4 linked regions of the Notamacropus eugenii genome follow. The protein of the gene in region 2 purifies or fractionates together with the protein of the main gene of each other region. This does not show direct contact. Links are inferred from orthologs where the notes say so. Each region holds a gene or a part of one and is shown on either strand. Other genes may lie near its edges.

Region 1 (7,395 bases), on a different chromosome or scaffold from region 2:
ACACAACTGACAAGATCGAACCACAACAAAGAAAGCCTCCCTGCCTTCAAGGAGCTCCTATCATAAAATCAGCCATTTTGGGTCAGTGACCCTTGAGATCAGCTAGTCCAACCCTCTCATGAAATGGCGAGGAAAGGAGAGGCCCAGGGAGAATGTAGTGGGCTCACCCAAGATCCCCCAGGGGCCCAGCAGGGCCAGGATTCAAACCCAGAGCCTCTTCCCTAGGTTCAATCTTCTCCACTAGGGTATACCACCTTCTGTGATCACCTGGCCCAGAAAAAACATCTCAGGCTCTCAAATGAACAAATAGATGTGACAGGGCAGGTGGTCTTAGTGAGACTCAGAGGAAGGGAAGCCCCACAGAGCTGGACAATGGAAAACAGAAGCCTGCATGCTATAAAGTCAGAGAGCCTGACTTGGAATTTCCAGCACAAATATAACAAGTGGTGAATACAAAGTCAGTGGGGCTTCATCCAAGAACAGGTCAGGCCAAGCTTATAACATTTCCTTCTGATAAATAAGAGAAATGTGAGTGTGTACATGCACACTGCACATAGTATAATACAGTCCAAATGACTTCACAGCTGCATTTGGAAAGGCACTGAATGGCCTGACCCCAAGAGTCACCACTCAGGGTCTGAGGATACTTGCCTAGAGATGGGGCTGTCCCAGAACTCTGCTGCTGGTCACACACTGTAATGTCCCCAACCCCTTCAGGACAACCCCGACAGAGAAAGCAGCCATGCCCTCCACAGCAAGCCTTTGTGTAGAACTTGAAGGATTCCAAAGCCCTTTCCCCTTCACCTCTTCTGATCCTGACAACCCTGAGTTAGCGGTCTGCTACTAATCTCAACTAAAAGAGACAAGAGTCACACAGCTGGGAAGGGGGGAGTGACGAGGAGACAGGGCTCCAGCAGCCACCATCCCACCTCACTGCTGACAAGCCCCCAAAAGATCTGACAGACTAGAAGCCTAGGCTTCAAAGAGAATAAAGTCTCACAGTCAAGTCACAAAAGTCCAAGATAGGAGGGCGGAGCAAGACGGTAACTCATCCCATGGTCCCCCAGACACTGGGAATGCAATGGGACCAGGTAGCCAAGGTGATCTGTGGTCACACTAACAGACTCAGTGGCCAGGACCAGTAAAGAAAAACTTCTGAACAATAACAGACTGCATTCCAGATGAGAGTGAGTTGTGACTGGGAAACACAACCTTGTTACAAGTTTTCTGGCCAAAGTGAGACCTCTGCTGGTTATGCTGCTGACCACAATGTTTTCCTAGCAAAGGCACAACAAGGTGGCCTCCGAGAACCCTTCCAACTGCAAAATGACTCTCTGAGTTAAGAAGCATCCATCCATCCCTCTGTCTTCTACCCTGGGTCAGATGGCAACTAAAACACTCTGCTCACATTTGGGGGCGAGATTTTAGAAAGGATACAGACATGCGGCCTCAAAACACCATGTAAGAATCAACTGAACCTAAAAAAACTTGGGGGGTCAGGAGAGCTATCTCCAAGTACCTGAAAGAAAAATGAGCCTTCACCTGCCTGGCCCAGGGAGCAGAACAAGGAGAGATAGGGAGAGATATTACAAAAGTAGAAAGTGCCCTATCCATGAGGGGAGTTGATAGTGAGATGAACTGACTCAGGAGAAGGCGGTTCCTCCTCATCCTTACTCAGAGGATGAGCAACCCTGTGGGGGATGGGAGGGATGCCGTAAGAGGAAACTCTCTGGATCTAACAACATTGGGAATGTGCAGCCTACGAGGTCGTTCCCAAACCTGGGATTCTGCTACAGTCCCATAGGAGCCATCAGTCTGTAGGACCTCGACACTCTCCTTTCTACAGAAAAGTTAATTTAATCTCTCAGTGAACTAGTTCCCTGAGGAGCAAAGGGAACCCAGTCCTCCCTGACTCTGAATTCACGTCCAAGAACCAATTTTACTGCAAACACAGCTCCACATGAAAGGCAAACTCCGGGACTCTGCGCTAGAGGTGGGAGGAGCCCCTGCCCAGCCTGGGGCAGACACCCACCTTCTGCATCTGCTGGTCAGACTTGGCCATCTCTGCAAAGTAATCCTGGGGCCTCTTGGTGGGGATCTGGTGCTGGTGGAGCCGGGGCAGCACCGCCAGGACCGCAGCCTGGGCCTGGCGGTAACTGGCAGACAGACACGGGCAGCTGCAGGAGTGCCCTCGGGCTGCCCCCTCCCCACCCCATCCCATCCCAGGCTGCCCCCTCCCCACCCCATCCCAGGCTGCCCCCTCCCCACCCCATCCCAGGCTGCCCCCTCCCCCATAACTTACAAGGTCATCTCCCTACGGAAGTCGTCCTCGGGATCCACGGCTCCAGGCTCCACGAGCGTCTGAGGCGCGGGGAGTTCTGGCGCCGGCCCCACGGTCACGTCCAGCCGCTCCAGCCACGCCAGGTCTTTCCGGAACTCGGCCAGACACTGACCCAGCCCAGCCTGGGGAGAGCTCCCGGTGAGCTTTCGAGGGGACCCTCCGCGCCCCACCCCCACCTACGCGCCCCCAAATCATCCCGCAGACCCAGAGCCCCGCGTGGAGACTCCTCGCTCCTCCCCCGCCCCCGAACGCTCATCCCGTCATTGCGCATGCTCCGAGGCGCCAGGCGCCGCACGTGGAGCCAGAGCGCGAGCCCACTCCAAAACCCCGTGCTCACCACGTCGTTCTGCCGGCGTTTCGGCGCCTCCAGCTCCACGTTGAGCCCCGGTTTAAGCAGGCCCCGTGCGAAGGCCTCCTGCAGCTGCAGGGACACAAGGCGGAGTCAGGGCCGGCCAGGCCCGGGGAGGGACGAGGGGTCGGGGCTGGGTCCCAGGAGGGAAGGGGGCCACTGACCTCGGCGTCCGAGAGCGCCTCCGAGTCCGCCTCCGAATCCGAGCCCGACGCGAGCGCCGCCATCGCTGCTTTCCCTTTCTTTCTTCCGCGAGCCCAGACGCCGCCTGAGCCTCGCGGCTTTGACTTCCGGCGAGACGCTTCCGCTTCCGGCGTGAAGATCCGCCTCTTCCTGTTTACCGTTGCCGTGGAAACACAGGTTTCCTAAGAGAGGCCAAGCCAAAGAAATAGGAGAGTGTGAAAGAGAGAGAGAGAGAGACAGAAGCGGCAGAGGCCAGGGGCGTAGGGCGGGGCCGGGAGGTCGGCGGGGTCACGGGTCAGGGGTCACGGTCACTGTCTCCCCTCCGCAGCCCCGCTCTCCCCTCCCCGCGGCGCCATGAGCACCGTGGTGGCCCAGGCCCAGCACATCTTTGGGCTCCGCGGCCGCGTCGCCAACAACCTCTTCTTCTTCGACGAGCAGATCATCATCTTTCCGTGCGGGAACCACTGCGTGAAGTACAATGTGGACCAGAAGTGGCAGAAGTTCATCCCAGGTACCCCTTGGAGAGGGCCCCCACGCCATGTTCCTGGGCCGCGGGGGCCGCCATTAGCCCCATTCCGCGCGTTGGTCCGCGGCAGCGGGCGCGCTAAATGGCCCGCCAGGGTCTGGGGCAGAACCAGAACCCAGGTCCTACGGCAGCCTCTGATTATCCTAGGCCCACCTCGTTTCCCGGCCCCTCCCATTGGGGGGTCCCGGAGCCCGGCATTTCTCCTCCCGCCTCTCCTTGCAAGGACGGAGCCGTGCAGAAATGCCCCCTCCCCGCTCACCCTGCGGCTGGCATCGCCAGCCCCCAGTGCCGGTGCGGTGCTCGTGGCTGGTGCCCGAATGCGCCTCTCCTTGGGGTTGGGGCAGCAGGGGGCTCCCGTAGAAGCTGCGACCCGGATTGTCCTGTTCTCGGGGGCGCCGCTTTCTTAAATCACGGGGTTTTAAACACGTTAAGATTGTAGTAAAGGGAATTGGATCAGCAAACGCAAAGAAAAGCCTACAACCCCAGTGTGCCAAGGCCTGTGCCAAGCGCTGGGGATACCAAGAAAACCGCCGCTCCTAGTCTAAAGAGGGAAATACCGTGCAGGTGACTTAGTGTAGGCGATATGTGTCTAAACTGGGTGACGGCGCTTTCATGAAGCATTCGCCGCCGGAGGGGCTAGGAAAGACCTCCTTTCCAATGTGGAATTTGTTGTCTCCAAGGAAGGCAGGAAAGTTAGGTTGAGGGGAGGAGAGCATCCCAGGCATGAAGATCTTTGTCTGGTGTGTGAGGGGCAGCAGGAAGGCCGGCTGTGGCTGGACCTTGGGAGCTGTGGAGAGGAGTAAAATTCCTTAGATGTTGACCGAGAGTCTTTGCTGTTGTTGAGTTGTGACCCCATCTGGAGGTTTCTTGGCAGAGATGCTGGAGTGGTTTGCCATTTCCCTCTCCAGATCGTTTTACAGATGAGGAAACTGAGGCAAACAGGATTAGGTGACTTGTCCAGGGTCACACAGCTAGGAAGTGTCTGAGGCTAGATTTGAATCAGGAAAAGACGTCCTTCTGACCCCAGGCCCATACTCTGTCCACTGTGCCACGTAACAGCCCTATGTATTAGTCACAGTGTGTGCTTGATAAAGGCCAGCATGACTGGACCTTTAGAATGTATGGACAGGAGTAAAATTCAAGTCAGTTCATTAAATATTTGTTAAACACCTGTTATATACCAGGCACTGTACTAAGCACTAGGGATACAGAAAGAGGCAGAAGACAGTCCCTGCCCTCGAGGAGCTCCTGATCTAATGGGGGTAGACAGCATGGAAGCATATATGTAAAAAGCAAGCTCTATACAGAATAAAAAGGAAATAATTAACAAAGGGAAGATACTGGAATTAAGAGAAGTTAGGGAAGACTTCCTGTAGAAGGAGAGATTTTAGTTGGGACTTAAAGGGTAAAAAGCCTGGAAAGGTGGAATGGAACCCCCTGGGAAGGGCATTAAGAACCAAACAGAGGGCCTTGTTTGCTCCTTGAGGTAATAGGGAGCCCCTGGGCTTAATCAAATAGGAGAGTGAAGTGATCAGATCTGTGTAGAATGGGAAAGGCATGTCCTATGGAGACTGGCTTTGATGCTCTTGGAATAGTCCAACTGGATGTGGAGAGACCAAACTCAGCTGAGTGTGGCACCTACCTGCGTATGTAGACAAGGGAGGTATCATGGGTGATGACATTGTGCCTGCAGCCTAGGTGACTTCCAAGGAGGGACAGTAGTGGGAAAATTGGGAAAAGCGAAGGGTTTGGGGGGAAAGAAGATGGGCTGTTTTGGACACATTGAGTTTGGGAATGTCGCAAAGGCAGTGGGAGAAACAGGATCGGATGAGGAGAAAGGTAAAGGTGAAATTCTCCACAGAGAGGCTAAAAGAGAAAGAGGGACCAGATAGAGCCCTGGGGGAATGCCCTCTGTCAGGGATGCCAATGACTACCGTCCACCCTTGGCTTCTGGAAAAAAGCTCTTAAACTGACCTTCTCACCCTGACCTTCATGTTGTCCAAAGGTCTGTCATTGTCCCCCTTCCCTCTCTGTGTTCTCCCTTGGCTGTCCCACTCACTCCCATACTGATGCCTTGACCTCCACCAGGGCCCAGAATTTTATCACCAGCTATCCTCAGGCCTCCCCCCCGCCCCCTGACCAGGACCAGCCCGACTTTGCCTGTCCCTCCCCCCATCATCTCTGTACATCCTTCACCCACCTGCCCCCCCAACTCTTACCTCTCCTTGTTCCTGCTGCTGCCCCACCTCTGGCTTTGGTGCTTCTTTCCACTAGCATCAGCACAGGGGGCTTCCAGATAGACCTTCCTTCTCTCTCCAAACCACCCTTCCTAATTCAAACAGTTCAGCACATATTTCATGAAATACTGCCTACATTCATGGCACTATACCAGAACATGGGGATATTCAGAAAAAATCTGAAGATCCCTCCCCTTTAGGGGCTCACATCCTTCTTGGGGAAATCACATAGACATGGGAAAGAAAATACAAAATAATTTCAAGAGAGAGAGATAACAGCTCAGATTAATTTTCACTATTCACACAACTTGTTAGATCTCCCCTCTGCTTAAAACCCTTGAAGATACCCTGTTGCTTACTAATTACAGCTCAGAGTCCTTACCACAACATTCAAGGCCCCCAACATAGTCCAGCCATATGTCCTATGTCCTGCAGTTTGCCAAAATGGAAGATTCACCATACAGATTCCTTCAGCTAAAAATCCCCCCCTTTTACAAGGAACCTTTCCCAGTTCCCCTGAAGGCCAGTGCCTTCCTTCTGTGATTCTCTCCAAATGATCCTGTCTGTAGCTGGTTTGTACTTAGTTGTGTCTGAGATTCAAATATCAACTGCCCCTCCCACTCCCTCTTTGTATGGATGTCTACTCATACACCCCAATTATGTGAGGGGATTTTTTTCCCCTTTCCCCTGCTTTCCTCCCTTTCCCACAGTGTATTCCTCTTCCCATCCTTCTCCATTCTCCTTTTAAGATTGTCAAGATATAACATAACCATGATCAGGCCTTCCATCCAATTAGACTCCCTCTGTGAACCTGGATAATGATAGGTGAAGAGCGGACACATATCACATCTGCCCTTTTACCCTTGCCTAGTGGAGGTGGAGCCAAGACAGCGAAGTAGAAAGACAGACCTGTAGAAGCTTCCCTCCATAGCCCATAATATCCTTGCTTAGTCCATTGTGATTGCTAATTACTGGATGAATGAGCAAATTAATAGAAAAGTCCACTACATTGCACATGTGGCTCCATGATCCACCTGCATTTACCTCCATTTGCAGGTTCAGAGAAAAGTCAGGGCATGCTCGCTCTGGCCATCAGTCCCAATCGGCGCTACCTGGCCATTTCAGAGACTGTGCAGGACAAAGCCACCATCACCATTTATGAGCTGTCTTCAGTTCCTTGCAGGAAGCGAAAAGTCCTCAGCAACTTTGATTTCACAGTTCAGAAATTCGTTAGCATGGCCTTCTCTCCAGACTCCAAGTATCTTGTGGCCCAGACAGGACCCCCCGAGTCCAACCTAATTTACTGGATGTGGGAGAAGCAGAAAGTGATGGCAATTATTAGAACCGATACTCAGAACAACCCAATCTACCAGGTAATACCTGCTCTAGCACACAGGCTGTGCCCATGGCCATGGGGATGATTAAGGTGGGTGGGTGGGTGTGCTTGCATGTGCTCTGTCCAGACCAGTGGGGCCTCTATTACATTCATATATCACAGATTGTTCAGCCATTCTCAGTTGATGGGCAGCCCCTTGATTTCTAATTCCTTGCCACCATTAAAAGAGCTGCTGTTCATATTTTTGTACAAATATATCTTTTTCCTTTTTTTGGAGGTCTTTGGGATCAGACCTCTCAGTCTTCCCCTTAGTTTTACTTTCACTCCCTTACTTGTTCCTTCTGCAGATTGACGCTGTTGCCCACCCATCCTCCTGGTTGTCTGTCCAGGCTACACATGGACCACTCTGACCCCAGGAGTCTA
Region 2 (7,528 bases):
ACCCTCTCCAGACCCCCCTGGACACTGCCCAAACCCTCAGAATTACCAAACCCCCAAGGATACGGACACCATTGATCCCTGAGATTCTGAAGTCATCGATGAGCTGCACGACAGTCTCTCTTTTGGGGTCGCTGGGATCGCTGTCCCGGACCTGGAGGCATCAAGACTATGATGGGGGGCGGGGTCGAGGTGAGGAGCAGAGGAGTCCAGGGAACCTTCTCAGCTCCCTCTACACCATCAGGAAATTTGGTCCTCTGAGATCTCCCTCCCCCTCCCCCTCCCCCTCTTACTGTCTTTGACTGATGGGGGCGGGGCACAGACACGGAGGCCCCAAAAAGCTGAGTGAGGACTTACACATTTGAGCAGTTTGATCTCATCCACAGCAGTCTCAGTATAATGGAGAGCACTCTTGACCACCTTTAGGGCCACAAACCGTTTCCGCCTACAAAACAGACCCGGATCACCTGTTATCATCAAGGTCCGTATCTGGGCCTCGGAATCCAAGGATAGGAGGGGGTCGAGAGAAGATAGGCCAAACGGGCCAGGAGGAGGGTGTGGGGGAGGATCACTCACTGAATATCCCAGCAGAGCCAGACTGTAGAGAAATGGCCCCACCCCAGCTTTCGAACCACGTGGTATCGTCCATTGAACAGGTCTCCAATCTTCACTGGGTAGTAACCACCTAAGGGGAGGGAAAACAGATGGAAAGAATACTTCATTGTTAGGATACCACTTTTCCAAGGCCCAGAGTCTGCCCAGGGTGCCTCTGCCTAGTCACCCCCATCCCTTACAGGCTCACTATTTGTCCTGATCATTGAGACCATAGTCCAACGGTCCACCGAAACTTGCTGAGCTCCCTCTCTCTCTCTCTCCTTGCTGTCTCTCCTCCCCCGAGCATAAAAGAACATAGGGCAGGTGGCCAAAAAGGGGCCTGGTGTTATCAGTTTAGTCCTCCCACCTCCATCCCCTTCCCTTCCTCAGCGGGGAGAGACTGAAGCTGCCTTTGTTTCTCTTTATTCAGGCTGCCTGCCCTGAGCTGGACCCTCTGCCCCCACCTCCCATCCAAAGCGGGGAGGCCAAGTTGGCTTTGTGGGCTCTCCATTACCCCTGCAGTAATCGGTGGGGTCTTCCTGTTCCTCATCATCAGAGCCCAGAAGGCTCTCCAGTACCATGGGGAGTAGCACCCGACCAGCTCTCACCTCCGGGTCAGTGAATTCGTGGGCACATGCAAGATGTGAGCTTGTTGGTAGGGGTGGAGAGGGAAGGCCTCAGGTTACTGTCCAAGTCTTCTTGGCTTTCCCCCAGTCCTCCCTCCGATTTCCAGTTCATCCCCACCAGGCTCCCTCCTCCACCATACTCCACCCCTCTCCCCCCCATTCTCCAGGGCTGCCCAGCTCTACTCTGGATCTGGACCCACAGACTTGAGGCATCCCCTACCTGTCGCTGCTGCTGCTGCTTGAGCTCATTTCGACCTCCCCAGCACGCTACACCCTACCTACTCTACCCCAAGTCGGGGGATTGCCAGGAAAATCTATCTAACTGATCCCCCACTCCCCAACACCGAGGTCCGAAGAGCTCCGGTGTCCTGCCCTCAGTCACTCGGCCTAGCCCGTTGGAGGTAGGGGGTGGGGATGGGGTTGACGTCAATTTCTCCTTTTGGAATTTTTTTGGGAGGAGGGAGACCTTATCTCTACTGTGGGGAGAGTGGATTGAGGGGCATTTATAGCTGGGGTGATTTCATTCGGCCGGCCAGGGAAAGGGTTATAAATAGATTCTCAGCTGCTTTTAGGGAAGGGAAAGGTATGTCAGTGGAAAGGTCCCCTCCCCCTATCACCCAAAAAAGTCCACTCTACCAACTCGCTGAGGGTCCTGCTTCTTTAACTCTTAAAGGCACATGCTCCTCAAACGGAGACTTCCCCAGGGTTGCGCAGGCCGACAACATCGGCCACCTGAACAGACTGGACTACATGTTCCAGCTCTTAAACCCTACAGTCCCATGATCACCCTGGAGGGACCTATGGGTGAACTGGACTCTGCCTGTCTCCCCCTCTACAGACTGAAAGGGGTTTATCACTTCCTCCGTCTGTTTCAACTTCTTGGGGGGCTTACCCCCCCAAGTCTAGGGGGAAAGAGTGACCATCCCGGGACCTGCCACGCCCCCTCCACCCCCTACCCCCATCCCCGCAGAAATGCCTCTGAACTCCCAGAATCCCCCTGCGGGCCCTGGAAGTCCATCCTGCCTGGTCATCTAGGCTAGACCTCCTGGAACTCGCCACCCCACCCCCCATCCCCGGACCACTTCGTCCCCGCGCCTCCGATCCGCTCAGAGCTGCACCTGCTGCACCATCACCTCCCGCCCCCGCAGATGGCTTGGGTCTCCCTCCTTGGAGGGGGTCTGTCCCCCCAGAACGCCGTCGCATGCACTTACTAGAGCTGCACGTGCAGGTTCCCCACCTGAGAAGGCGGCGGCGGGGGGCCCGGAGGCGGCGGCGGAGGGGGAGGCGGGGGGGGGCGGCGGCGGGGGGGGGAGGAGGCGGCGGCGGCGGGGGGGGGCGGCGGCGGCGGCATTGGAGGCAATGGCGGAGGCAATGGCCGGGGGTGCTGCGGAAGCAGGGACTCCAGCCGGGACTCCAGCCGTTGCTTCCGCAGCCATCGCAGCCGCCGCCGCCCGGGCTTCCTGAGCTGGCCCCGCTGTGACTGCGGGTCGCTATCCCCACCGTCGTCCGCCTCGGCCCCTTCCTTGGTCTGTGGCTTCTCTCTCTTCTGGCCTGAGTGGGGCGGGTTAGGTTCCATGCGAGGCTTGGACAAGACCAGACGCATCAGGGCGGAGCGGGACAGGAGGCTAGAGAGCACCAGTAAGCCGAAGCCCCGGCCGCCCCCTCGGAAGCGGCCCGCCCGGAATGCAACCATAGCGAGTCGTCCAGGCGCCCGCTGCCAGGTCCTCGCTCCTCACTGGCCGGCCTTGTCCCGGGCCGTCCGGTCTCGATCCCGAGACGTTCGGACCTGGGACCCACCTCCCCCCTTGCTAATCTTCACAGCTACGACGGCCAGCGAGCCTCACGGCACGCGGACACGGTCTCTCTCGCTCCCAGACGAGGAGCTGGATCGACTGGATAGAGAGGAGAGAGCAGTAAGCGGGAAGCTTGTGCTCGAGCTCCGCGAACCTGCTCGACAGCCTCTCCTCACCTCGGCGATCCACGCACTGGAGCGGCTTTTGCAGTGCCGTCGTTTTATACTCTCGTCCCCCCTCCCACCCTGCCAACGTCCCGCGCACAGCGCTCATTGGTTGATTTTTCAAACACGCCGAGGGTGCTCCCACACTCTTTGCCCGGAGACGAAATCTTCTCACCGCCCCTCTCTCTGAGCCTCAATTTCCCCGAGCAAAAAAGTGATTGGATGGGACTAACCCAGCCAATGCGCTTTTTTTCTGTGCACTTCACTACTTTTTGACCCCCATTACCCTCACTCGGTTTGTTCCAGACGAACTGAATGGCCACCCGCCGTTCCTCACTCTAGACCTGTCGGGGAGGCTGCCCCCTCCACTCGTTCCCATTGATCATTCCAGCATCCCGACCCTTCTCTGTTGTCTTTGCACCCACCTTCCAGGCTTTCGTTCGGTTAGAAATGTTTGTTGAGTGTATTTATTCAATCTTATAGCCCTCTCCCCCACTCCTCCATATTGGGCTGACCCAGCAGGAATTTTGCAGACAGTCAGTCAATAAACATTTATTAAGCACCTGCTGAGTACTAGGCACGGTGCCGAACGCTGAGGCAAAAGATGGTCTTTAAAGAGCTCACAATCTAATAGGGGGTAGTAAAGTCGGGGGGGGGGCGCCCCGGGGGGAGGGGACACAACAAACAAATGCGTGCAAACAAGTTCTATACAAGATCAATAGAAAATAATGACCAGAGGGAAGGCCCTGGAATTCAGAGGGCTTAGCCGGGGAGCTCAGAGGTCAGGGCCGAGGAGGGGGAGTACTGGGGATCACCCAGAGAAAATACCCAGAGCCGAGAAAAGGAGGGACTGGTTGGCGGAGCAGCCAGGGATCACCGGGTTGAAGAGTTCACTTGAGGGGGCTGAGTCACGAAGGGGTTGGAACACCAAACAGAGCATCTTGTACTTGATCCTGGAGGCAAGAGGGAGCCACGGGAGCTTATGGAGCAGGGGAGTTACATGATCTGACCTGCACTTTAAGAAAATCACTTTAGTGGCTGAATGGAAGATGACAAGGGGCTGAATTTGAGAAATGACTAGCCTTGGCGAGTTTGGATATGGCGGTGTGAGTTAGGGAGTGATCGAGATTAACACGTTGCGAGGCCAGGGAACTGGGAAAATGGTGTTACTACTTGCCCTATCCTCACTGGTCTGGAGGGGAGGACTGGACAGTCTCTTTTTGTGCTCCACCCCCCCTTCCCCCCCCCCCCCCCCCGGCCAAAAAACGCTCCACACAAGGTGGCTCATTGGTTTTTTAAAAAGCGCCGACTGCACTCTCACTTTTTGCCCCGGGACCGGAACCTTTTCTTATCCCTGTCTCTGGGTTTACAGTAGGGCCGGGGTGGGGGTGGGGAACACAGGCGGAAAGAACTTGAGGGGATGGATAGTTCAGTTTTAGATTTGTGTTAAAGATGTCTACCGGACATACAGTTTGAGATGTCTGAAAGACACTTAGAGATGCGAGATTAAAGGACAAGCCGAGGGCTAGGGCAAAATGGATATATTTGAGAATCATCAGCATAGAGACAGTAATTAAATCCTTGGGAGCCTATGAGACCCCCAAGAGAAGCGGGCCCAGGACAGAGCCCCGGGGAAACCTATGATTCAAGGGCATGATCTGGAGGAGGATCCAGCAAAAGAGACAGAGAAGGAGTGGTCAGAGATGGAGGAGGAGAACCAAAAGAGAGATGAGGAGTGTGAGTGTCTGTGTCTCTGTCTGTATCTCTGTGTGTTAGTGTCTCTGTATGTGTCTGTGTGTGTCTGTGTTTCTGTCACTGTGTGTCTGCGTGTTTGTGTGTCTGTGTGTGTGTCAGTGTATGTGTGTCAGTGTGTGTGACTGTGTGTGTGTGTGTTTGGGCATCTGTGTGTCTGTCTCTGTGTGTGTCAATGTCTCTATATGTATATGTGTGTATTTGTGTGTCTGTGTCAGTGTGTGTGTATTTGTATGTCTGTGTCTCTGTGTCTGTGTGTGTGTCAGTGTGTGCACAATTTGCACTCTACTACCCTCCCTTCTCCCACTCCCCAAAATTATGCTCCCAGCCCCAGCTATTGCTACTAGGATCAGGATTTCTTCTGCCTCATTCCTGTGTCTCCCTATCCCCACACCCTGAGATCCCAACAGCAGGCATTCCAAAAGGGGAGAGAGGAGTCCTCCTCAGGAAATATGTTGACAACTGCCTGTCCTCCAGACACTCCACAAACACAAACTACCAACAAAATACTGGATTTTAAACTTTTTTCAAGTCTTTGATCTCATTTATTTTCAAATGGAATTTTCCAGCAAGTAAATAAATATATGGGATGGGAGTGGGGGTGGGGGTAGGCCATCCTTTAAGTATCCCAAAAGAGGCTGGAGCTGGTGTGAATTATGAAAACCCCGACTGCCTGAGACTAGCCATGCCTTAGTTAACAGGTCTCAATAAGAGAGGCAAAGCTTGGTGCTGTCTCCCACACATACCCCCACTAATAATCCTAGTGAAGGGGTGAGGGGAAGCCACAGGCTAGGCCAGACTGGCTTGAGTGGAAAGTCTTGAATGTTTGCCACCCCTCCCCCCCTCCCACTTCTCCACTATAGAAAAATGTCCCAGACAGGGTTCATTTTCCACTATCTCCTCCATACTTGGGAAAAATAGGGTCAAATTTTGACCACTACTCTGGGTACCAACAGTGCCCACCCAGCTGCCTGGCTGACTCTGCCCCAAACCACTTTTGAGGGTCCTGGAAAGAGAGGCTCTAAGACCTCTCTATCTCCATTTTGGAGGGAGGGGAAGGAGATTCGCTAAGGATAGAGTCACCCGGTTGGGTCTCTAGGGAGCCAGGACAAAAGGCACTACTGGTAAGAGAGAGGGGGCCTTGGCAGTTGACTTTAAGCTGGAGGCCTTGGCTGGGGCAGCTCCCACACTCCAGGTTGGTCCATTTCCTTCTTCTTGGCCCAAGATCTGGACTCGGGGCGGGGGAGGGCTTCATAAGTCAGTAACTTTGTTTTCTACCAGAGCAGCAATCTGTTGAAGCCGGTAGGCCAACTGCATCTTCTGGCCCACAGGGTCCTCCTCCAGGGCACTGATAATCTGGAAGAAACCAAAAAGATCTGATCAGCTAATGTTTCCCTCCTGGGCTTGCAGCTGCTCTGTCCCCTTCTATTTTGCCCCCTCCCACAATTCTGTCTCTTCTGAACCTTAGAGACCAGGGTAAAGTCTTCCCTAGGCAAAGACAGGTTCCCCCTCTGGGGCCTTCCCACAGAGCTGGAGCAAACTTTCCAAAAGCAAGTTTCTCTCCCCATCCCAGAGTACCTCTGAGAGAGATGAAGCCACTCTGAGCTTGGGTGGCAGGACCCCTTTTTTCAGGGAGTTTGGGTCCGGCACTTGGGAGATGATTTCCCCTCTGAAGGTCTTTCAGGATGTTAGGGATTAAAGCAAAGCTGTGGTCCAAGCAAAGCTAACTACTCTGCTCCCCACTCCCTCCACCTCCTCTCTAACTTTAAGTGGCTCTAGATATCTAACCTTAAGGGTTCTCCCCCTCCCCTCCAAGTTTCTAGGCCCTTCTCCAACCCCTGCCCAGAAGCCCACCTGCCTCTCACCTGGTCATAATACTTGTTGATGTAATTATACAGCTCATGCAGGGCAACCAGGCAGGTGATGTCAGAAGCATAGTTCTGGGGTTTGGGGGGAATACACATTGTTGGCAAGTGTCAGGTCTTGGTGGAGAAGGGCCCACTGAGGTCAGAATCATCCTCTTTCGGACACTCAGTCATCAGCAGTCCTATCTGGTCCCCACCCCCCATACACTAAATCTGTCCCCATCCTACTGGTCCAGTCTTGTACCCCTGCTCCCTTCTTCTCTGTCCGGACTGATCTCCTCACAGCCCTTTTTCTATAGTCCAAATCAGGAAGATCTAGTTTCATATCCTGCCTTACAGCTCATCATAGTGTCTTCAGGAGGTTATGGGTTCCACCTCGGACACTAACTGTGTGACCCTGGACAAGTTATTGAACTTCTCTGGATCCCTGTTTCATTATCTGCAAAATTAGGGAGTTGGACTCGACCCCTAGCTCTAAAGTCTATGATCATAGATGAAAAACTATTTCTAGCTGCTCTTTTGCAGTGGCAAAGAACTAGAAACTAAGAGGTGCCCATCTGTTGAGGGATGGCTGAACAAATAATGCATATGAATGGAATGGAATATTGCTTAGCTGTGAGAAATGGTTTCAGAGAAACCCAGCAAGACTCCTATGAAATGATGCAGTGAAGTGAGCAGAACCAGGAGCAGTTTGTATAATGACAACAATATTGTAAAGACAAGCAACTCTGAAAGAA
Region 3 (7,991 bases), on a different chromosome or scaffold from region 2:
GCTTTTGTCCATTGTTTCTAGGCCTGAAACACTCTACCATCTCCTCCAGGAAGCTGACCTTGACCGCCACCCATCCAGAATCCAGCCATGTACTCACCCTCCCTGGGCAACAGAGGGCTGCGCCCACATCTCCTGCCCAGGCAGGTCTCCCTGCACCCAGCATGGGCCTGACAAATACCTGCTGAGTTCAGTTAGGGAGCAGGCCTCCATTAGCTGAGACAGCAGCTGCCCCGTCCCACCCCCAGGCCTCACCTCTTTGCGTCTCTGCTTCTCCTCCTCCAGGTGTCGGGCAAAGTCCTTGGCCAGCTTCCTCTCCTGTCGCTCCTTCATTTTGCGCTCCCAAGATGTGCGAAGAGGCTTATCCTGGACCATCTGGGAAAACCTGGAGGCAGGAGGGGAACTCCCCAGTAAGAGGTCTGTGATAGGACCCCAAACACCAGGACAAAACCCAGCATTCACAGCTGGGTGCTGGGGATGCCAAGACAGAGGTCCCTGACCTCAAGGACCTGACACTGGGGTAGGGGAGGGGCAGGGAGCCAACATGGCTATATGGGGTCTATGCCAAACACCTATGAAGCAGCCAAAAGGAAACATGCATTTATAGAGCACCTATCATATGCTTATTTACATAGACTCTTTCATCTGATCCTCATTATAGGTGGGAACTGTTGTGATCCCCTTTCTATAGTTGAGGAAGGTGAAGCAAAGGAGATTAAGGGACTTGCCTGGGGACACACAGCTAGTAAGAGGGCCTGAGGCTGAGTTCAAGGCCAGGTCTTCCTGACTCCCAGTAGGGCTCCATCCCATGCACCCCTAGCTGCCTCTCAGTCAGGGCACCTCCTACCTGACTCTACCAGGTTGGGATGGGGTGGGATGGGGAGCTCACTACCTCAGGAGACGTCCCCTTCACTCAGAGGCTTTCCCTTGCACTAAGACAAACTCTATCTTCCACTCAAGTTCTCTCACAGGACAAAGAATTGGGGCAGAGGAGGAGGGTGTTGTTTGCCCATGTCCAGGACCCTTGGCCTTGGCCCCTAAATGTGGGTGTCCCAGCCCTGCCACTTAGGACCTGTGTGACCTTGGGAAGTGCATTCCCCATCCTGAGCTTCAGTTTCCTCACCTGTAAAATGAGGAAGACAGCCCTCTTAGTCTTCAACATCCCTCTCAGCTCTAAATCCTCCAATTCACTGGACACTTGAAGTGCATAGTGTATGGAGTGAGAGGCAGTGTGGCCTGTGGGTGGCAAGTGGGTCACAGAATTAGGGAGACCTGGGTTTGAGTTCTATGCTGACCCACCCTGGCTGTGTGTGACTGGCCAGGAAGAGCCCAAGCCTCTCAGTGCCCAGTGTCTTGAAGGCGAGATATTCCAGAAGATGCAGACCTACATCGGTGGATAGTCTCTACATGGGGATGAATGAAATCCCAGGTCTGGACCAAGACAGATTTGAAAGACTCTGGGCTGGGGGCTGGGGACAGAGACAAAGCAAAACAGGGCAGTGGGTGGTCAGTGGCCAGAGTTCTGGACTTGAGATCAGAGCTGGCCTGGGACTCTAGCTGTGTGACTTGTGGCAATTAGCCTCCACCTGCCTCAGTTTCCTCATCTGTAAAGTGACTGGTTGCACTTGGTCCCTTGGGCACAGCAGGTGCTCTACAAAGGTCCCTTCCCATCTCCCTTTGTCAGTGGCCAAATACAACCCAACCTTTAGCCCCCTCAACATGTAAGGACATCCCAGTCCAGAGGAAAGATCAGACACGCTTCTCTGACCTCACCAGGCCTTGGTTTCTTTCTCAGCCTCGTACCCTCTGCTCCCACAAGAGGACTGCGAGGGGAATTAAAGATCACATGGCCCAACTGAGCCCCTGAGGCTCAGGGTGGTTTACAATCCCTCCTCCAGCCCTCTGGCACCCCCACTGCATCATTACACTCCTGTGGGGTTGCTTCCCAAGGGCTGGTCTTGTGCCCTGGGGAGCCTGGGGGCTGGCTGGGGGTGCGGGGCAGTGGCTGCCTAGGCAGGGGAGCCCCAGCTTCCCCTTCCGTCGGACCCCCTCGCTTCTGCCTCACCCCCCCGAAGGGCAGCTCCAGCTTTCCCTCTCATAGGCTTTGGCCCAAGAAAGCCCTTCCCCCTTCCCCTCACCTTTTCTTGTTGCGATCCTTCCATACTCGGCCAGACTTGGGCTTCCCTTTGGGGACTGCCATGACCTCCTTCTGCTTGGGCTTCTTGGGCGCTGAGGTGGGGGCAGGGGAGCCACCCCGCTTCTTAGTTTGGGGTGCCTGGGTCACTGGCTGCGTCTCCGCAGCTCCGTCCTGGGGCAGCACCCCCGACTTGGGGGTCACTGGCTCGGGCTGCCCCAAGGGGCACTCCCTGTCAGGCTCGGGCTGTCCTCCGTGGGACCCCGATCGCTCGTGTCTCCGACTTTGGGGGGCTGCCGAACTGGATTCTGGGAGGCCTCTGGAGTCCGGTTCCTCTGCAGCCACCTGATCCCCGGGGCACTCAGGGCCCTGAGCTCCGTGACACTTAGGGGACCCCACAAGGGGCTTCCCGGGGCTTTGCGAGGGTCCCAGGTCCAGCTGCCTTTTACCTCCAGCGCCCTCGGCCTGCTGATTCTGAGGCCTCTTGGGGGACCCCGGACTAGACTCTGGATCCTTTCTCCGGGGGGACCCCAAGTCCTTAGGGGACCCGTGGGGGGGCCCTGGGCCCTGTCTCCTAGGGGATTCCAGGCCTGGCCCCTCGTGCCTCCGCGGGGACTCCGGGCCCTCTTCGGCCGCTCCCGCTTCCGGCACCGGCTCTAAGGCAGCTTCGGCCTTGGGCCCCAGGAGGCCGCGCCGGGCCTTGCGGGGCCCCCGGGACGGGGTGGCGGGGGCCGCGGGGCTCTCGGCCTCCAGCCCCTCCAGGCGCCGGCTTCTCCTTCGAGGCGTCTCCATCCCCTCGCCCAGAGCTCAGCAGGCCCCCAAACACTATCCACGTGGAGCTCCCGGGTTTTCCGGCACTCGGCGCTCCTGATGACGTCACAAAAGCGACCCGCCAATCAAGGGCCGGGAGGCGTGTTATCCAGTCGGCCATATTGGTGAGGGGCAGAACCCCAGAGAGCGCACTTTCCAGGAGCATGCGCCTTGCCGCCACTGCCTGAGCGCTCATTTGCGCTTGCGTGGATAGTCCTGAGCCGACTCTCCTAGACCCGGATGGTGCGGGGCGGTGTCAGCTCCCGAGGGGGCGGAGTCCCAAGGCCTCCTTTTCAGAGAGGGGCAGGGACGCGCCAGCTGTCACACTGCCAGTCAGCCAACACGCATTGTTTGAGTGCCTGCTGTGTGCTAGATAAAGCCTTTATCCTGGCTAGGCCTCGCACGTCTTAAAGCGGCCCTGCCTTCCAGGGGCCCACATCGATCAGGAAGTGGGAAAGGAGGCCCAGCTAAATATAAATCATTTGTACAGAGGAGCCTTGGGGCTGGGGTGAGGGAGAATCAGAAAGAGCATGCAGGTGGAAGTGGAGAGGGAATGCATGGCAGGCACGGCAGGGGCCAGTGCAAAGACCCGGAGGTGGGAGATGGAGTATAGTGGAGGACCAACAAATTATAGAGAAAGGGAGAAGGGGGCTGGAGGAGCAGAGAAAATACCCCTCCCCCCAACTCAGCCCCAGCCAGACCACTCCCGGCTTTATACTTCACCTCCCTTTCTTATTTACATCCTTCCAGCTCCAGGAGAACCATCCCTTGGTTGACCTGAATACTTGGTTAAAGGAAAGGCAACAGGCTAAATGCATACATTTTATGATTTAATTAATTAAACAAATCCCCGTAAAGATATCGGTTACATAACTCTAGGGAGCCAGGATCAAATCTGGCTGTCCGGTACAGAAATCTTCTGGTTTTTATACATTTTGCCGTGAGAAAGGAACTCATAAATTTAGGAAGACGAGACAATTAACAAAGTAGTGTCAATTGAGTTTTATGATCCCAAGCTGTGTGATCTGTAGCATATGTCTCTGTGACGTAAGATAAGAAGAAACTCCCATTACTCTGGTGACAGACGTCCTGTCCTAAATAGGCCCTTGAAGTTGTGGATGCAAGAACAGAGTTGACTAAGTTGAAATTGCAACCCGGGACATCTGTGTTTTTCCTTATCACTAAGATGCCAGGGGAAGAGTCTAGTAAGGAAGTCCCATTTGCTTGCTTAACACCAAAAGGCATTCTCTGGTCCAGGCTCTTCTTAATTCAAAGTTTGGCCCTTATTAAAGTCCAAAACATATCAAATATTATCATCTTATAATAAAGATTACTTTTGGCCCTTATTCAAGTCCAAAATTTGTATTAAATATTATCACCTTATAATAAAGATTATACAGGAATGAGTTTTAAAGGCCAGCAAAACCAGCTCCCCCAAAAAGGCCTGAGTATCTGCAATATCTGCATGAGGATCCTGTGGCCACTCACCACTGCAAAAGAAGGGGAAGTAGGTGTGTTCTGCTTTCTCTTCAAGCCACATTGGGTCCTTGCAATTTTCAAGCAATGACTACAAATAGAAATATTTTCAAAGGCCCCTGTGGTATGACTAGAAGAGGAGTGAGTCTGGAAGTCAGGAGACCTGCGCTTACTTTTATGTCTTCTACCCTTTTTTTGGTCTGGAATTTCACTTTCAGTGATGACTTTTATTTTTAAAAAAATAATTTTTAGCTTTTTGTTATTCTGAACTTGATAAACAAAACAAACCCGGATGTTTCTGTAAACACAGAAAAACAGGAAGAAATCATTGTGCACTGCAGTTATGTATAGTTTGTGGATTGATTGTTTGTTTGGTTGGTAGGCATCCTTCCTCCTCAAAGAGAACTGAAAGAATGTCTGTCACTGTGTTGGAGTCAAGGTGCCGGTTGTCCAGCCGTGACTGATCAGATCACTATAAGCTTGGAAGGCCCTACCACAGGTCAGGAACACGTAGTGTGGAGGTATCTCTAATTTTGTACATCTCACATTTCCTTTGAGCTACTTCCATTCTGCTTCACTCATAGAACACAGTGCCTTCTTTGATGGCCACAGGCTGGATGGTTCTGGGTCATCATCTTTCATGTCTTGAAATTTATTCCAAAGTTCTTCACAGAGACCTTGGGAGTGAACCTTGTGCTGCTTCTTCTGACCTCTATGTGAACACTTGCCCTATATGAATTGTCCGCATAACAGTTTTTTAGATACTTTTGGCATTTGAACAACATGGTCAGCCCATTGGGAGCTGTGGTCTCTGCAGTTGAGTTTGAGTGCCTGGCAGTTTAGCTCAAGAAAGGACCTCAGTGTTAGGGTTAGGGTTAGGGTTAGGGTTAGCGTTAGGGTTAGGGTTAGGGTTAGTGTTATCTTGCCAGGAGAACTACAGAATCTTTCTAAGACAATTCCAGTGGAAGCGATTCTGTTTCCTAGCATGGTGCTGGTGGACTGTCCATGTTTCACAGGCTTACAACAATGAGGTCAGCACAGTGACTGTAGACTTACAATTTGGTAGGCAGCCTCCCAAACACTGAGCTAGCTCTGGCAATGCGAGCATCAGCTTCATGTCCATATGAACATCCCTGGAAAGTATACTGCCAAGGTAAGTGAACTTATCCACAGCATTCAGTATTTCTCCATATGCTGTAACTGATGGTTCCATGTATAGTGCCGGCTAGTGAAGAACCCATGTTTTTATGGTGTTGTTAGACCAAAATTAGCATAAGCAGCAGTATTTATGTATGTACATATATGCATGTATATGAATATATATTTGAAAGTATATAATAAATTCATCCCTTTTGTTTTGAAAGAGACAGATCTCTTTCAGCACTGCCTCCTTTTCTCCTGTACTTTTAAAAATAATCCTCCAGTGACTTTCTTTTCTTTTGCCTTTTTTCCAGCATCATTATTACTACCCACCCTTTCTCTGATCATGGCATTGAATTCTTAAGTTTGTCAGTTAGTTTTCTTTACAATGTTGTACTCACTGTATAAACTGTTCTCCTGGTTCTGCTGACATCACTCTGCATCAGTTCATTCAAATCTTTCCAGGTTTCTCTGAATCCAACCCTTTCTTCATTTCTTAGAGTACAATAATGTACCGATACATTCTAGCTGATGTAGAGAAGCCACAGTTCCCCATCTGGAAATTCCAAAAAGTGCTCCTTAGGAATATTTCTATGCCCCTGTCCTATTTATTCTCTCTTTGACCTTTTAGGGGTATTTGCCTAGTAACGTCAAAGGGCATACTGAGCTCCAGTCCCTTTATCTTAGAGTCCCTTGCAGGACTTAAAACCTTTGTTTTCCTTATGGTTAAGAGTATGACAGTTTGGCTAGAATGTAGGATCTGTGAAAGGGAAGAAATGTGGAATATCTTTGGAAAGATAGGTTGGAGTCAGATAGTGAAGGATTGTAAATGCTGAAGTGAAGAGTCTGTAACTGGTCCTAGGGGTACCAGGAAGCCACTGGGGCTTCTAGAGCTAGGGGAGAGATTTGGGCAGAGCCATGCTTTAGGAATATCAGGCTGGCAGTTGTTTGGGTTAGGAGGATGGGTTGGGGAAGGCTTAGTCAATAGCAGGGCTGAGATTAGAATCCAGGTCCTTTCACTAGAGCTGTTTCAGTCTAGTGCTTTCCTTTTAGGTCAGCTTCGTTTAATATTCTACAAAGAACCTGAAATGAGATGCATGTGAAATGGAAGGCTGGTGAGCAGGCACAGTGTGCTCACGTGTGTGCAATTCCCAACATGGAAATTTCTGGGAAGGTTGTAGAATGGAAGGGCCCTGTTCCCTGATTTGAATCCTGCATAGACATTCTGAAACTGGTTCTGGTCTGCTAACCACATGAGGAAGAGATAGTTTTGATTGATGGTGTATCCAGAGGCAGAGTTCATGCATGAGGCACTACTTGGCCAAATTGAATCATTCTTTTATTTAAAAAAAAAATTATTTTTATTTTTATAATATAAATATTTATATATAAATATAATTTTAAATATATTTAATTAATTATTTTTCATTATATATAAATATATTTAAATATTAAAATAATTAGATATATTTAAAAATACATATAAGTATATAAATAAATATTTTTATTTCATTAGATATTTTCCAATTAAATTTTTTAAGAATTTAAACATTCATTTAAAAAAATTTAGTTCCAAATTTCTTCTTGCCCCTCTCTCACTCCTTGAGAAGGCAAGTAATATAATATCAATTATACAAGTGAAGTCATGCGAAACATAACTCCGTATTACTGGTTGCTGTTCTGGGGAGAGAGACAGTGCTGTTAGAGAAGAGGCCTCAGACCCTCCCCATCATAGTTTATTATTCCTCTTTTTCAGAGAAGGAAACTGACAATTCAAGACATTCCCTGTCTCTTATCTCTTAATGGGTGACATCTTCTCAAGCTTACACCCACAGACTTCACTCTTTGTCAACAAATACTAATTACACCAGAAAGCAGCATAAATAGTGAATAGTAGGAAAATCCATCAATTTAAACAGGTAACAAATGGAAATAAAGTAATTTCTCTGGTGGAGGGAAGGCTTGAGCAGCTGGAGGGGAGGGATCCAGGAAGTGTTGTGTTAGAAGGTGATCCTTCCACTGAACTTTGAGGGAAGCTTGGATTCTAAGAGACACAGGTGAGAAAAGGGTCTCTTACTGAATTTGTTATTCTCTTTAAATTCTCCTTCATTAAGATTGATACCATGAATAAACTGGAGAAGCAAGGAATAGTGTATTTATCAGATTTATGGAGAAGGGAAGAATTTTTTACTAAAGAAGAGATAGAAAGCATTATGAAATGCAAAATGGATAACTTTGATTACATTAAACTGAGAAGTTTTTGCACAACCAAACCCAATGCAACCAAAATCCGGAGGGATGTAGTAAATTGGGAAAGAATTTTTACAGCTAAGCTCGGGGATAAAGGCCTCATTTCTAGAATATATAGAGAACTGACTCAAATGTATAATCATACAAGTCATTCCCCAATTGATAAATGGTCAAAGGATATGAA
Region 4 (7,739 bases), on a different chromosome or scaffold from region 2:
AAAGACCTTTGAAGCTTCCCTTGAGATTTCTAGGGAAGGATAATCCTCAACACAAATAATCCCTTTTACTTTACCTGGTTTATATCGTAATTCTGTGTCTAGGACCCCAGACAGCACTTCTTCTATCTTCTGCACTATTTCTTCATTTGGTAGGCTCCTTGCACAGGCAGCTGCATCACCTGACTGGTTTCCTTCAACAGGTGGGTTTGTTTCACCATTCAGCTGGCCTTCAACCCTGCCACTGATTTAAAAATAAAACAGCAAAATTCATTAACATCATGGATATCAATATACAATAAATCAGCACAAAATAACAGCATATGAACAATTTGCTTAATTTTAGTGACTTTATTATCACGTCTGAATATGTAAGATACACTGCCATCTCTTATAGTTTTTGTAAACATATTCTTAAACCATAATAACTCTTTCTCAAATTTTATTAACTTCTAATCTACTTCCAACTAATTTATATTCTAATTTTATAGTATCACATTACCACCATTTTACAACTCTGCAAATCAAGTAAAAACTTCCAAAATAAAAGTTTTCTAAGCTCATCTGTTTCAATACGCTCAGAAATCTAAGTTGAGGCTTTTGGTTACTTATACTTGGCAAAAAGAAAAAAAACTCATGAAAATACAAAAAAAAAAAACAACACATGCATGGCCTAATATACACTAGGAGAATATGGGCATAATGAAGAAAAAAATAGTATTTTTAGCCAATCTGCTTACCATTACTGACCATCAGCATAAGAAAGACACTCAAATACATACAAGGTAAAAATAAATCACATGCTGTCTTTAAATTACATAAAACTTCCATAAATGTATAGAAAAACGTTTAGGGAAATCTCTTATATACAAAAACGGCTCAGGATATTTAAAATAAACCAATTAACTAATGAGAATTCATTATGCTTTAACCAATACCACTGTACACATAAAAAAAGCACTGGAGTTCTCACTTTCAGAATACAATTAAAATATTATCTGCAATCTTCACCTGTTTAAATCTGAACAACTCATTAAGCTAGTTATGGTTGTGTTCATTTGTCTGTAAAAGACTAAAGAATGAACCTATGTTTAAGTTCTTCCAATTCACATTTTAAAGCATTTTAAATATTTACTACAATTCTGATTGTGTTCCTTTCAAACAAATTAAGTAGGTCTGATCTGTCAGATCAAATTACCATATGCCCAAAAAAAGTAAATCTCAAAAAAAATTCAATTACAATGGGAAATATAACCAAGGAAGCACAATGAAACTACTAATACAACTAATTTTGGCCAATTAAACAATGAAGTTAGTAGCACACAATCCAAAATCTATTCATATTTGGTTCAGAATTACATTAAGACAAGGAGAGACAAAAAACATTGTAAGAGAGCAAGAGGTATGAAAGAGGATAACTAATGTTCATATTTATGCTTTGCTTGGACTGATATTAAAATTGGCTTAGATTTCCTCTAAGCACATCTTTAACGCTGAAAATGTTGAGTGGTCCAGAAATTTGCTATGCATAATCGACAAAATGGACTGTAATCAAACGAAATAGAACTACACTACACAAATTAAAAACTTATGCAATAAAAGTCCCAGGAATAAACCTCATCTGAAAATTCTGTTCACTCATATGACCAATACCTTGGCATCACCACCCCTTTCCAGCCCCCCAACACAATCCAGCCTACCGTTCAGTAAATGAGAATTAAGAACTTAATTTGGCTATTTAACTTACTCTTGGAGATTCAGTTCACACTACATTGTGACCAACAAACAGACAGGATCAAGATGCTGGAGTTTAAAGACAGTGAATAGCCACGGGGAGAAAGTATAAGAGAAAGTGTAACCCATATTTTAAGCTTCAGGGATTCTTGTTCCTATCTTCTTACTAAAAAGGACCAAATAAGGTGGACAAGGCACAAACACTAACGGAAAACCAAGCAAAACCAGTACCTCCTCGCTATTTTCCTTTCTCTCTAAACAGATTTTTATTTTTTTTTTTTGCAGATTTCCTTTCCCCACATTTTTGGTGGGGAAAATGGGAGCATAAAGAACAATAGCGGTTCGTTAATCAAGTCAACTTTCCTTGTTATTTGAAGCCAGGAAAGGAAAAAAACTGAAATTCAAAAGATTCCCCCTGTACTCCCAACCTCCAAACACAGACACAGGCACACACACACGCGCGCGCGCGCGCTCACAATTTCAACCATCTCCCCCTTCAAACCAACAACAAACTGAACAAATTTTAACTGCTTCCAACTCTTTTAAAAACAGGTGGAAAGAGCAAAGAGAAAACCAAAAGCCTCGATAATCCACAAACTAGAATAATCTAAAATTAGCAAGAACGAAATTTTAGGATTATACTATAAAAACGCCGTTATACACCCTTTCCGAGGCTGGGGACAGAATGGTGAAATCTCCGGAGATGAAGGCGGTGAGGGGGGAGGGGGCGGGGGAGGGGAAACGAGGAGGAGGAGGAGGAAGAAGAGGAGGATCGGAGGAGGAACCTAGGCCCACCCCAAGGTGGACAACGGGGCCTGGAAGACGGAAGGGAGGTTGGTTACTCGGAAGAGAAAGGGAAGTCTACGAAAGCAGCCCGTAGGCTGGGGGTTGGGGGGGGCGGGGGGAGGAGAGCGCCACGGAGCGAGAGACGAAAGCCCTCGCGCGCGAGGGGAGAGAGGAAGGAAGGTAGGCGGTGGGGGAGGGGGCGGGGGCCAGGAAATAGATCCCAGGCCCGGGCGAGGCTCCTGCAGGGCCTAGGCCAAAGGACGATGGCGGCTTCGGGGATACCGCGGTGGAACACTGTATCGGTACCAGCGGTCTGCTAAAGGCAGATGCGCCTGGGAACACGTTACCTGGAAAGCTCTTGCTGAATTTCCCGGAATTTACTGACCACGAAGGACCTGAAGATCTGCTCGATGTTTGTCGCCATGGCGGCCGCTCCGTTCTCTCAACTCCTCCTCCCAAGACCTCCAGGCTCCCAGCATGCGTCGGGAGTAGGCGCTACGGCCGGTTCCTTATCTCTCTTCCCTCATTGGCTCCCGCTGGCGCTCCGGGGAAGGCACGCTCTGCCACTGAACCAATCAGCGAACACGCATTCGTTTTCTCGGTCCGTTCTTGCGAGACGAGGGCGGAGCCGTTGACGTAAGCTCCAAGCTCGGGGCTGCGGCGGCCATGTTAGTGCCTGACGCAGGCGCCATTACAGGGCCAGTGTCTGCGGGTGAATCCCGCCAACGTGAGGGGCTTAGTCGTTCGCGTTCGGGGTGGGAGGTGGGCTTGTACTTTTGTGATTTGGGTTGATTTAAGGGCATAACTATCCAGATGGGAGACTGGCGGCGAGGTGAGAACTAGTCAGTGTTCCCGCGGAGCCCGCGCACGCCTGAGGGGGGCGCCAGGTCCGGCTTTATTGCCGTCTCGGGGAGGACCCGCCTCTTCGTCGCCTTCCTCCCAATGCTTGTGCAGAGTCCTGTGACCCTGGAAAATACAGCCTTTGCTTCCCTCCGCCCCCGGCCCCTCCCCCGCCCCTCCCGTCTGAATCCGCCTCGGTTTCTGAGCCCCGGGCTGCGTGGTCCCTGTGGCTGCTCCGGGAGCCTACGAGCCCCAGCGTGCAGGCGGTGTTCCGCGCTCCTCTCGCGAAACAGCCCGCCGGCCCCCCGCCGTGAGAGCCCTTAGTCCTCCTTAAACTATTCACGGGTGCCCGGCGGCCTCAGAGGTACCAGAGTGGGGGGGAGGGGGGGGTCGTGACAAAGCTGTCGTTACGTGACATGTGTGAACACGGTTCCCCGGGTCCGGGTCGAACCCACGGGGCCCAGGAGGGGCATCACGCTCCCGGGCGGTCGAGGAGCAGGCCGCCGCCCAGGGCCCGCGGGCCTGGGGGGAGGTGGTTGGGTGGCTGGGGGTGTCGCCGCTGAGGTGCCCGGGTACGAATTTAGGAACGTAAATAAGCGCCAAAGGTGGGAAGGCTTGTGGAACGCGGGAGTGTCCTTCCCTCCCGGACGGACGGACGGACGCACGCGGGGCCGAGGAGCCTTTGGGCGTCCACGTGTGCAGAGCGCTCGCGGCTTGTCGGCGGGAGGAGAGGGAGAGCCCAGGCTTTGTCATTCATCCCGGGTGGGACGGCTGCCTTCTCCTTCCGCGGCCTGGCCACGTGCGTGTCCTCCCGCTGTCACTGGTGGAGCATCTTTCTGCAGCCTGCTTACGGCAGAATTCCTGTCGTTTATTTAACTTAAATTTAATTATTTTAGGAGACGGGTCCGAGTGCTTTTCCCGTAGCTGGTCTCCTTTTTTCCTTGATATGTATTTCAAATAGGATTTCCTTAGTTTTTTCATCCTTCAGGGTTTACCCTGTGCTTTCCCCCACACTTTAACTGTGAGCGGTGCTTTTCTTGAAATGAACTTGGCGTTGGAAGAATTGGCCTTTTTCACCCGTGGGCTTGGCCACGTGCTCTTGTTTTCCAGGCTTGTTTTCCTAATCTTACCACTTGCTTTTTAACGTGGTTTTAATTAAGTTCCTGCTCATGGTTTCCAGTTTCTGATAAGCTACATTTTTCCATCCAAGCAAATGATTTTTTCTTCAGTTTTTCAAAAATTTAAGAATTGAAGAGTTCCTTCATTCAGTTTGGTTTTTCCATGTGGTCCAAAATGTTTTCAGTAGGTGCTTTTCTTCCTACAAAATTGGGAATTTTGAAAGTAGCTTTTATTTCTGCTTTGTACTGTTTACTTATTCAATGGACCGCAAGTCATCCTCATATAAGCTGAACAATGCTGTATCCTGTCTAAGAAAAGAAATAGATATACTTGTTTTAAGGATGAGAGAACTGAGAGTTACCTAGGTTTAGATGTCCAGAAAAGTTCTGCCCAAGGTCCTAAGTGTCAGAGGTTGAATTTGAGCTCAGGTCTTCCTGACCCCTGACTTCCAGAGTTCTTGTCTGCCTGGCCCTGGGTACCAGGTAGTTGCCAAGTCCTATCAGCTCTACCCTAGCACCTCTTCATTCCTGCCTCAGCTACACTACTTCAGGTCCTTACCAGAAGTTGCTTAGACCGTTGCAGGTAGTCTCCTGATGGGTCTCTTTACATCCAACATTCCCAATTTCTACTCTGTCCTCTGGCAGATTGATCTTCCTAAAGCCTAGGTTTGCCTTGTCATTCCTCTGCCCTAGAATCTTTACTGGGGCCTAGATAGCCAAATCCTGCCAGCCCCTGAGCTAAGGATGGTTTTTAACTTCTTAAATACATTCAGACTTTTATTTTAAAATGTAAACACTATTCTTAGTCCCCGGAAAGGAATCATCTTTTGCCTGTAAGATAAAATACAAATTTCTCCGTTTGACCCTCAAAGCCCTTCATAAACTGACCCCAGTTTATCTTTCCAGCCCAATTAAATATTATTACTCTTCATACGCTTCAGTCACATCAGCCTCTGTTGTTTCCTGCATACACGTATTCTGTCTTCTCTTTCCTTCCTGTCCTCATGTCTTAGCACAGGCTCTACCTCATATCTGGTGTATCCTCCCTCTTTACCTCTACTTTGTGTACTACAGCCTTCTAGAAGTCTTTTCTGATTTTCCAAATTGTTGGATTCCCCTCATCCTGAAGTGATTTTGTATGACTTTTTTATACATGCTCCATTTTTCTATGAACATTTTATATTCCCTCCTTCCCCTGAGACAGCTAGAGATAGGTGGCAAAGTGGGTGGAGCACTATGCCTGGAGTCAGGAAAACCTGAGTTCAGATATAACTGGACACTAGCCAGCTGTACAACCTAGGGGAAATCATTTAAACTGGACCTCAGTTTCCTCATCTGTAAAATGGGTATATAATAGCAGTCCCTGCCTTTGTAAAGTACTTAGCACAGTTCTATGTAATAATAGGCCTTCAGATACTTGATTGTCATATTTTATTCAGTTTCATTCAGTGTTTTAATAGTGTGTGCTATGTGTCACTGAGAATACAAAGAAAAAAATGAAATATCCCTGTCTTCAAAGAAGAAGAGAGGAAAGCTAGTTTGATTTTGAACTTGATGATCAAAAGTGACAAGTTTCCAGAAGCCGCCTAAGGGAACCTGTCCAGCAGGCGATTAGAAATATGACCAGTCTCACATTTCCAAATGCATGTGAGGCAGATCTACATGGATACCTGATCGGCACCTCAAACTCAACATATCTAAAACTGAGCTCATTCCTCCTTCACACAAATCCCCCCCAAAATTGCCCCTCCTAGCTAACCTTGTTTGTGCCATTCATTATCTGAAATTCTCTTAGTTATCGAAAAACTCCACTGTCCTATTTTGCTCTTTTCCAATTAGTTGCAAAGTCCTGTCTATACTGTCTCCAAAAATAACCTCCTGATTGCATCTTTTCTTCCTATCCACTCTACTGCATCCTAACCTTTAAATTCTTGTTACCATATATGACACCAAAAAATTTCTTAACCTGTTATTTTAAACCAACCCTTCATAATGCTGTGGCAGTGATTATCCTGGTGTACAAGTCTAACCAGGTCGCACTCCACTGCTCAGAAAATCTCAGTCATTCCCCATTGCCTGCAGGATAAAATACTATATTCTTGCCATCCTATTCAGTGTCCTCCTCCAGTCAGCTTCCAGTCCTACCTCTCAGTTTGTGGAAATCCTTGCCTTCAAGGCCTAATTCATATACTACTTATTTCTCGAGGTCTGCCCGGATTACTTCCAGCCAGAGAAAATAGCATTCTCTGACCTTTCCTGTGTGTTTTTCTCATTCTGATCATATTTGTCCTCATGTCTCCTTGCCCTACTATATTTCCCTTGAGGGCAGGACCTGAAATTCTTAACAGAACCTAACACAATACCTTTCACACAGTAGTGGCTTAAGTATTGAACCATTATGGAAGCAAGATTGAGACTGGAAGGGCTGACTGGGGAATAAGTTGTGTAGAGATGATCGTATGGAGTAGATGAATGGAGAGGGAGTGAAAACGAAAAATAAAGAGCCAAATGATACAAGCTCAGGGAGTGCTACCATTTAAAAGGAAGGGTCAGAAAAGCAGAATAATTAAGCTACTGCTACTTTAAAAAAAAAAAAGCCAGAAGCCAAAGAAAAGGTCTCAAGTATTGCCCAAAACGTAAGGAAAACAATAAGGAATGAGAAAATGAATGGATTTGAGTTGTTTTTTAAAATTTTAACTGAACTTGATTCTCCTGGCACTGTTTATCAATTTCTTTTCTTTTTTTTTTTTTTAAATCCCTACTCTGCAGACAAATTAATGGCAGTCCGAGTGCTTATAATTGGCAATGGGGGAAGGGAACACACACTGGCTTGGAAACTTGCTCAGTCTCAGCATGTCAGCCAGGTGATAGTTGCCCCAGGAAATGCAGGAACAGCCAACAATGGGAAAATATCAAATTCAGGTAAAGGCATTTTGATTTATAGAATGTATGATCTAAAAAGGACCTTAGTGATCATCTAACTCAACTCTATCAATTTACAGATAAGCAAACTAAATGTTAAGTAACCAGTCTAGTTATTTTATGTTGAGTATCAGTAGCATCTGATTTTTTTTTTTTGTTTTATTTGTTTTGGTTATTAGGGGAAAAAAAATCCTCTCTCCCCTCTCCATAATTGGAAAGTGTGAATCAATTTGCCAGAAGTGTAAGATGTGCTGTTCTGGTTATAGTTCTATCTTACAGAATTACTTTATGCCAACATCTTATTAAAAGTGCTTCATAATGATATGGATAATTACATGGTTC

Evidence for each region.
Region 1: the proteins of SRPK3 (region 2) and EBNA1BP2 purify together in Homo sapiens (affinity purification with mass spectrometry; 3 studies listed by BioGRID and IntAct, with this or other methods). This does not show direct contact. The link is inferred for Notamacropus eugenii from reciprocal best matches to the Homo sapiens genes SRPK3 and EBNA1BP2.
Region 3: the proteins of SRPK3 (region 2) and CCDC86 purify together in Homo sapiens (affinity purification with mass spectrometry; 3 studies listed by BioGRID and IntAct, with this or other methods). This does not show direct contact. The link is inferred for Notamacropus eugenii from reciprocal best matches to the Homo sapiens genes SRPK3 and CCDC86.
Region 4: the proteins of SRPK3 (region 2) and SON purify together in Homo sapiens (affinity purification with mass spectrometry; 3 studies listed by BioGRID and IntAct, with this or other methods). This does not show direct contact. The link is inferred for Notamacropus eugenii from reciprocal best matches to the Homo sapiens genes SRPK3 and SON.

The regions. Positions count from the first base shown.
Region 1 is NC_092873.1:504,696,335-504,703,729, forward strand, and holds the start of EBNA1BP2 (probable rRNA-processing protein EBP2), read right to left. Parts: upstream 3,017-7,395; 5' UTR 2,918-3,016; coding exon 2,855-2,917; intron 2,763-2,854; coding exon 2,679-2,762; intron 2,464-2,678; coding exon 2,303-2,463; intron 2,157-2,302; coding exon 2,033-2,156; intron 1-2,032. Other genes in the region: CFAP57 (cilia- and flagella-associated protein 57), read left to right, coding at 3,228-3,384, 6,693-7,009. UniProt on the Homo sapiens protein: Required for the processing of the 27S pre-rRNA.
Region 2 is NC_092879.1:22,619,416-22,626,943, reverse strand, and holds the start of SRPK3 (SRSF protein kinase 3), read right to left. Parts: upstream 3,010-7,528; 5' UTR 2,911-3,009; coding exon 2,429-2,910; intron 1,760-2,428; exon of another isoform or gene 1,467-1,759; coding exon of another isoform or gene 1,438-1,466; intron 1,240-1,437; coding exon 1,106-1,239; intron 683-1,105; coding exon 574-682; intron 443-573; coding exon 355-442; intron 152-354; coding exon 64-151; intron 1-63. Other genes in the region: PLXNB3 (plexin-B3), read right to left, coding at 6,178-6,282, 6,792-6,866. UniProt on the Homo sapiens protein: Serine/arginine-rich protein-specific kinase which specifically phosphorylates its substrates at serine residues located in regions rich in arginine/serine dipeptides, known as RS domains.
Region 3 is NC_092873.1:12,473,614-12,481,604, reverse strand, and holds the start of CCDC86 (coiled-coil domain-containing protein 86), read right to left. Parts: upstream 3,012-7,991; 5' UTR 2,924-3,011; coding exon 2,136-2,923; intron 383-2,135; coding exon 253-382; intron 1-252.
Region 4 is NC_092876.1:425,727,001-425,734,739, forward strand, and holds the start of SON (protein SON), read right to left. Parts: upstream 3,002-7,739; 5' UTR 2,942-3,001; coding exon 2,865-2,941; intron 2,565-2,864; exon of another isoform or gene 2,543-2,564; intron 242-2,542; coding exon 75-241; intron 1-74. Other genes in the region: GART (trifunctional purine biosynthetic protein adenosine-3), read left to right, coding at 3,331-3,349, 7,245-7,397. UniProt on the Homo sapiens protein: RNA-binding protein that acts as a mRNA splicing cofactor by promoting efficient splicing of transcripts that possess weak splice sites.